Linked DNA regions of Solanum lycopersicum. The protein of the gene in region 2 binds, or shares a complex with, the protein of the main gene of each other region. Links are inferred from orthologs where the notes say so. Each region holds a gene or a part of one and is shown on either strand. Other genes may lie near its edges.

Region 1 (3,658 bases), on a different chromosome or scaffold from region 2:
CCTTTTGCAGATGCAACTTCTTGAATCAGTCTTACTATTACCTGAACGCACATACAAATGTGTTGCTTCTATAGAGATTCAAACATTCCAACATCTAGCTGCATCAACATCTACGTCCCTATTTGACAGCTATAGCTCCTACTAACTAAAACTACACATACTATTTTATTTTTTCCTTATTGAGTTCTACAATATTCTTTCCATCGAAGTGTATCTAGAAGTTAGAACTAGAGTGACACACCTTCCACAAAATGAATCTCAATATCTTCTTGCAGTAGAAAAATAGGGAATAAAACATGAGCTGCCAAGGACCTGACTGTCACCAGAACAGATATATGCTAACATGATGATGCCATTTATTCTTTACTGATTCAGGAACACCAACATACAAAAATAAATGATAGTGTCCACCTAAAACATATTATATACAATTTTACAAATAATGCTTCAAACTCAAACCATCAAGACAAATTAGTTTTATTTTGACAATATATGAAGAAAAAGTTTATCAGCAGGATTGAAAAAGGAAGAAGTGCATACCCCCCATACTGTTGGTGGCTCTTTAAAATTCTGACTCCACTGAAAATCTGTTACGGAGGCCGTCAAAGCTCCATAATCACTGGCAGCCCTCATCAGCAATTCTGAAAATTGTTTCTGCACAATTCAATTACATACAACATCTATTAGCTCGTCATGTGTCTGAATGATCAAATGAACTATTTTAAATAGCTAGAAGAGTGGTATAGATTATAGAAGCATCCGGGTTCTTCCTCTCAGGATACATAGGGATGCATCAGTGATATAACTACTTCGAGTCTCTGTTTTTACAAAGTAGATAATGTATAGTAGGGCGCGTTAAAGCGAACAGTTGATGTAGTATCTAGTTAGTTCCTCTTTCAACTAAATATTAGATGTAGGTTATCCTTATTTTGATAAGGTAAATTTTTTTATTAATGATGGCGGACAACCTCGTATACAAGTACAAGCAGTATACCGAAACACAGACAACCTACACCAAAATATGTATGGTTCTCTAAGAAAGCAATCCAGTCATCTACACACATAGGAACTTCAAGGGTACACCGAAAAGAAACATGAACAGAGGACTACAATGCAATTTAACAAAATCAGTATCTACTTCTTCAAATGCTCTCATGTTCCTCTCGTTACATAGAACCCACACATAATGACTACTGAAGATTGCATCCTACAACAATAAATAGGTGCATCCTGCATTCCACAATCATTATGTTATCAAAACATCTCCTCCTCTTAGTTTTTCTTACTGGGTGTTTAAGTTTCAAAAGGGAAAGACAAGGACTAAGCAGTAGCTCTTCGGCAAAGTGTCCCACATTCAGTGTGTACGTGTATCATGAATTGTTGTTGCCTGTTTATATATTTTTAATTTGTGTTGACAATGCTGAAGTGCTTTTGAAATTGTGTAGCAATGGTGCACATAATAGCAGAAGAATAAAGAATTAGAGATTTGGTATTATGAAAACAATACTCATTCTTGTTGATAAATCAAAGCAATGACAAACATCAGATCAGGGAAGAATTTAAAATATAATGAGATACTTCTAATAATTTGGTTTTATGATTTCATGTTTGTTCAAAAGCCAGCTTTAAGAAGTTTTAATGAGGTGATATTAACAATATTGGCAAAATAACAGGAATTTTTCGATCTAGAGAACTAATTGAAGTTGTAAAAACAGGTGTACTAATACAATTTTTACATTTTTGATAAGTTAACTTATGCAATTTTTAGAAAAGAACTAATTACTGACGGTGTGGTATAGCAGAAAAATCTTGTTCAGATTAACTGGTTAAAAACTCATCAAAGAGCTCCTAATATAAGAGTTTTGATGGTTACTTGCACTGTAATTTTTTTGATGGTTGACAGCATACCCACATTGCTGAGGAATATAACTTTACCTTGCTCAAAAAAAAATATATAAGAGTTTTCAGCGAAAAATTTTGTAATATTTATGTTTCTTAATTATAAGACATATATTATGAATATTCTGCACTTCTAATTATTCTCTGGCTAATGTAACTACTAAGAAATTAAGTTTTCTTTCTTGACTTTCATCATGCTCGCTCAAACTCGGGGTTATAAGGTAACTTATAGAATTATAGTTCGCTTATTTTGAAAACAAAATACTACAGATAGACCAGGGTAGTTACTAGCTGTTTGGATAGTGTCACCGAAATGGAAAGCAATCAACCCAGGGAAAAAGAGATGTAGGAATTCTAGAACATTGGCAACTTTTCTCAGATTAAAATTGGTGTGCGTTATTACGTAGGGAAGGATGGAGACATAATAGATAATACTGAAAATAATGTTTTCTGGAGGAAGACAATAAATCAAAAATATGGTGGTGCACTAAACCAGTGAATTCTTCTTTTGGGGTTAGTATTAAGAAAGACATCAGGAAATTTTGGGAGAACTTTGTGATAAACATTGAATTCAGGATTGGCAATGGAAGGAAGACATTCTTGTGGAATGATAATTGGTTAGGACATGGTCGTTTAAAAGAATTATATCCAGATTGTTCTGTTTGGCCTCTACACCTGAAGCTACAATTGAGGATGCATGGAGTCAACAGGAATGGAATATCTCTTTTAGAAGATTGTTGTATGACTAGGAGATTGAAAGGATGGCTGAAATTCTGAAGACACAAGAGGTCTTTCATGGTCCTCGAAATTTTGAGGACTCCGTGGTTTGGAATGGAAGCAGCAAAATAAGGTTTACAATCAGTTCTGCCTATCACTCTCTGTCAGGTACTGATTCCATTCACCCTGACTGGCCTTGGAAATTTCTTTGGAAAGTCGAGGCTCCATTCAAAGTTGCCTGTTTACACTGTTAAAAGGGGACACAGCTGAGCTCTTGGTGTTTTTTGTGTCAGGAGGAGGCAGAGAACCATAGCTATTTATTTCTGCATAGCAAAGGTTACTGAACTATTTAGCAACTATCCTTGTCTTTGGCTGAGGTTAAATTATTAAATAGGTAATGCCAAAGATACAAAGGATCTTTTGTGGACTTGGAGCAATTAGACAGGAAGTATTAGACAGAAAAAATGGTGGAATGTTTTTCCAAGCTTGTATAAGAGGTGAACTGTGTGGAAAGAAAGGAAAACTAGGTGCTTTGAAGACATGAGCTGCTCTATACAGGAAAATAGGAACTGTTTTTGTCTTTTATATTCCGTGTAAATAAATTATGTAAAGAATGCATAAAAAATATGAATTTTTCAACTCCTTGTAGATTTTGGACTGGGCCATCTTTGATTGTAAATACCGATGCTGATGAATATAATGTTAAAAAGTCTTAAAATGTCAAATAAGATATTCACAATATTATGCTAGCCAAATGCAATGAATTTAATAAAATAAGATTCTGTGAAAATTCTCTCACATACCTATGTTGTTTTTTCCCAATCTTCCACAAAAATCATATTTCGCAAATGAGATTAAAACTCTTTAGTAGTCAGTGTGTGTGTGTGTATATATATATATATATATATATATATTGTTGGCTTATTTCATATGCGGCCCCTTAAAGTTGTCATCATAATTCACTTAGACACCTCAACTAGGACCAGTACCAATTGAACACTTTTATTTATTCAAAACTTGTTCCTATTAGACATTTTTCGAC
Region 2 (4,285 bases):
AATATGGTTCTCACAAAATCTATGAATAATTAACAAGCATAAGTAACATACTGTACAGCATGATTATACTTGGACTCACTTCTTACATCCTTCTTCTAAAAAACAAATTATAAAAATATGGGATACTGAATAACCAATGGGAAAAAAAATCATAAATTTTTTTATTCATACATACACACATATAGAAAGAGATGATCTCTCCCTTTAAGACAGATTGGAACAAGGGATTATCAACTTAAAGCAATGGTTTTCTTAAACATCCTACAGAAATTTCAGCATCTATGTAATTAGTGCATCTGCTCCAGCAACAATTTCCAATATCTCACCTGTGATCTTCGCCTGCCTTTCCCGATTATAAGCAATAGAAAGGTTCCTCCTCAACTCAACAGCATTATCCGTTGCACTAGTCATTGCATTCATCCTAGCTGCAACCTCACTTGCAAATGACTCTTGAAGTGCCCTTAAAATCTGGCTATTCAAATATAATGGCATCAATGCATCAAGAATCTGAGCAGGATCTTGCTCATACTCTAAATTACGCAAAAATTCCCCCTTTTTCACCCTCAAATCCCTCACCACACTCAGTTTACCTTCCTTACTAGTCAACCTAAAAAACTCATCTTCATCAAAAAACTCCTCTCCTCTTAATGGGAGCAAAGTATGAATCACCGGATCAGATTTAATCAACGAAACAAATTTAGTGTACAAAAGCTCTACTTTATCAACTTGTTCACTAATAAACAAAGAAAAAACATCATCAGCTATAACCTGAGCCTCTTTAGCAGTCGGAAAACTCTCAAATCTATCAACAACAAATCTATCAACATTCCGAAAATAAGCATTACTCTTCTTACCAACACTAATCAAAGTATACCCAATTCCAAGACTCGTCAATTCCGCCATCCGGCTCTCTGCTTTCTTAAAAATCCCATTGTTAAAACCACCACAAAGACCTCTTTCACCTCCAATAACAACAAGGCCAACTTTCTTTACCGGTCTTATTTCTGTCAACGGTATATCTACCTCTTCAAACTGAAGCTGTTGGGTGATGTTGTACAACATATCAACAAGGGTTTCAGCAAAGGGTCGAGTACTGATGACTGCTTCTTGTGCTCGACGAATCTTAGCGGCTGCGACTAGTTTCATTGCTTCTGTAACTTTTTGGGTTTTGTTGATTGTGTCGATTCTTCCTCGTAGTTCACGAATACCACACTGAATTGAACGAAGGGGAAGTTGCAGGGATCGGAAACTAGGGTTTCTATTGGTTAGTTTAGGATCACAAATGGGAAAGTTGACGACATGACAAGTGAAAGAGAGTGAAGAAGCCATTGATTACAGACGACACACTGGAGAAATATACCCTACTTTAATTTGTAATTAGATGAGTTTTACTACTCCCTATTTAGTTGTCCTTCCATTTGACCATAAATTTTTCAAATTATTTTACAAATAATTTTTTTCATATAATTTATTATTTATTTGACAAATATTTCAAATTTTTAATATTAATTTTTAAGATTTGAGCCAAATCTCATTATTTGGAATTCTTTTTAAAATTAAAATTTTATTTCAAACTTTTATTTTTTATAAAAACGCCCTCTGTAATAGTTATTTGCATTATATTACATAATTCTTTTTACGTAAACACCAAAATAATAATATTCTATATTTAGTGAAAATTAAATAATGATATGATTGTTAATCATAAATTAGTAGAATCTACATTGTTTTATTGAATTTCTCACTTACAATTCCTTTTGTGAAAAATTCCTATATTTGAGGCAATAGAATGGATGTTCTTTGGCCAATTCTCTTTCACAGATTGTTTGTCGCACGTTTTGGTTTATTATAATTGTTTGTATTGATTTAGACAAATTATCTACTGAATTATTTACATTTTGTAGCAATTAGTTTGAGAAATACTTGAATTAGTTGCTGATGGCTGACAACGTTTATTCATTCAATTTTTGCATCAATTCTCCTTTCGTACTATTAAAGTTGATATTTTTACTAAATCTGCATTTTAAATAACTATGTTTGAGTATAACGGAAATATTTATTAGTAATACTATATTAATCCTAAAAATTAAAGAAGAAATAAAAAAATTATCCCTACCATTAATTTTTAATTTTGTTATGTTAGAAAAAACCAAAAATACTTTACTTTTAACAAAGTAAAAAACTCAAATAATATTTGAAGAATCAAAATCCAAGTCCAAAAAATTCAGTGATTTGAATTGAATCGCCGGAGAAATGGGAAGAGGTTTGGGTTCGCAAAACTTGCCGGCGGACGTCGCTCAGCTGATCGATCAGTTAGACCGCCATTGTTTAGCCCCTGATGGATCTCTCATCTCCAAATCCGCTCACTACGATCTCCAACTTGTATTTTCTAATCTCTCTACAATGCTTATTATTTGATCGTTAAGGTAAACCAAACACTCAAAAAAATGATTTATTTTTGGGCATTGCAGGCGAGAGAAGAGATGTCAAAGGAGAGACAACGATACTTGGAATCTTTGGTAGGATTTCTATTTTTGGGTTAACATTTTCATTTTTTTCCTGATTGCCTTTGTCTGGATAAACCTTATAGGCAATATACATTGAAGCAACTGCGATGGTAGAGGATTACCAGCAGGCCATTTCTGTGGCTAATCTTGGTGGTATGAGAGATGTCCAGGGTTTATACTCTCAATTGGGCTTGAAAAACCCTCCTCAGGTTCCACTTTTTTTCAGTTTATTCGATTTTATGGATGCTGTTTGGGTAAAAGGATTCTCTTTTTAGTTCACTGACATTACAGGCCTGCCTTGGGTATACGTATTTTGTGCACGATTTTTTACTAAAAGATTGCACGTACCGTCTAGTGCATGCTTATGCACACCCGTATAGATTGTGTACTGATAAACAAATTGATTATCAATAGATGAGAATGAATGATAAGTTTAAGGTGTTATGCATTGTACATTTTTTAGGCTCTGACGATAGAGTTCTGCAGACAAGTTTTTTTTTTTTTGGTTCATTGTTCAAATTGTTTTAAGTTTTCTGGGTGATTTTGGCTCTGGAATGACTTCAGGTTTATGAGGCTCTTGAGCATAGGATGGTTGTTGCAGAAGCAGCACAGAGATTGAGGCTTCCTCTTATCTCCAAAGACGGTGAGATTCACGAGGAGGAAATTGAAAAGTGGAGTACAATGTCAAGAAGTTCTTTTGATAGCACAAGCACCAGCATTACATTAAGCTCGAGCTCAAACTCAGCTTATCAAACCAATGCATCTGCAATTGGAGCTGTTCCTACTATTAGTACAACTGATTCAACAGAACCAGATGTTGGTGGTGTTCCCAATCGGTTCCTTGGAATTACACCTGCATATTTATGGCAAACTCAACTACATCAGATGTCATCAGTGGTATAATATACCTATTTGATTGACGTGATAACCTCATGGTCTTGTGGGGAAATCTTTTCTGTTTTCCAATTAATCTTCAATGAAAGTGTTGTAGTTGTCTTTTATTTGTGTACATTTATCGATGCTTTGATTGCTTGTTACCTACAAACGTGGAATCGCTATTCATCTGGTTATCAAGTGTTAGTTCTACACGCCCATAGATGCTTATATGTCTGCTATTGTAGGACGTGGCAGAATACCAGAGATTACTTTCACGGGAGATTGGTGGCCGGTTAGATGCTAAATGTGATAAGTTAGCTGATGCAGTTGCTATTGATGACATTGGTGAGTTTAAGTTGCTAATTTGTCTTCCTTTATCTTCCCTTGGTGCTTGGCCTTTCAATATGTTTGTTGGTTGCCGAATTTCTACTTGTTTTCCTCTTAAACAAAACCAGCGTTTATAAATAAGACCTGGACATCTATGTCAGTTTTATAATTAGCCCCTATATACATATTATTATTTGAATGGGTATAATATGTAGTCAATTTGATTGTAATGTTTCAAATTGTGGTGCAAATAGGAAAAATCTACTGCTGAGGTGCATAAGTTCTAGATTTACTTGTTATCCATTTACACAAAACTGTGCCCCATTGCTCCTCAGGGATTTCTTGGTTATAGTTTTTTCTTGATTTACTCATGTCAGTGTATTCTTCAGAGGCTGGTTGAGTAGTTCTCTTACTATTTAAGTAACAGAACTTTTAGAAGTTGTTGTTCTCATATCAAGATTTCTGTAAGAATACAAGTATATAACCTTACCTTGATTCTACAGATATATCTGCTGCCAGTCAAAATTCAGCTGCCAGACTTCCAGAGAGGTCTCTCCCTCTGAACTTATGTTTCT

What was found.
Region 1: AUGMIN subunit 4 (region 2) and AUGMIN subunit 2 share a complex: the UniProt entries of both Arabidopsis thaliana proteins name them as parts of the augmin complex. The link is inferred for Solanum lycopersicum from reciprocal best matches to the Arabidopsis thaliana genes AUG4 and AUG2.

Annotation. Positions count from the first base shown.
Region 1 is NC_090807.1:4,192,837-4,196,494, forward strand, and holds part of AUGMIN subunit 2, read right to left. Parts: intron 655-3,658; coding exon 541-654; intron 1-540. UniProt on the Arabidopsis thaliana protein: Contributes to the assembly of the acentrosomal spindle and phragmoplast microtubule arrays as part of the augmin complex.
Region 2 is NC_090811.1:422,817-427,101, reverse strand, and holds the start of AUGMIN subunit 4, read left to right. Parts: upstream 1-1,393; 5' UTR 1,394-2,253; coding exon 2,254-2,382; intron 2,383-2,471; coding exon 2,472-2,519; intron 2,520-2,590; coding exon 2,591-2,716; intron 2,717-3,071; coding exon 3,072-3,404; intron 3,405-3,628; coding exon 3,629-3,728; intron 3,729-4,213; coding exon 4,214-4,259; intron 4,260-4,285. Other genes in the region: ATP synthase gamma chain, chloroplastic-like, read right to left, coding at 280-1,329. UniProt on the Arabidopsis thaliana protein: Involved in microtubules reorganization during spindle and phragmoplast development.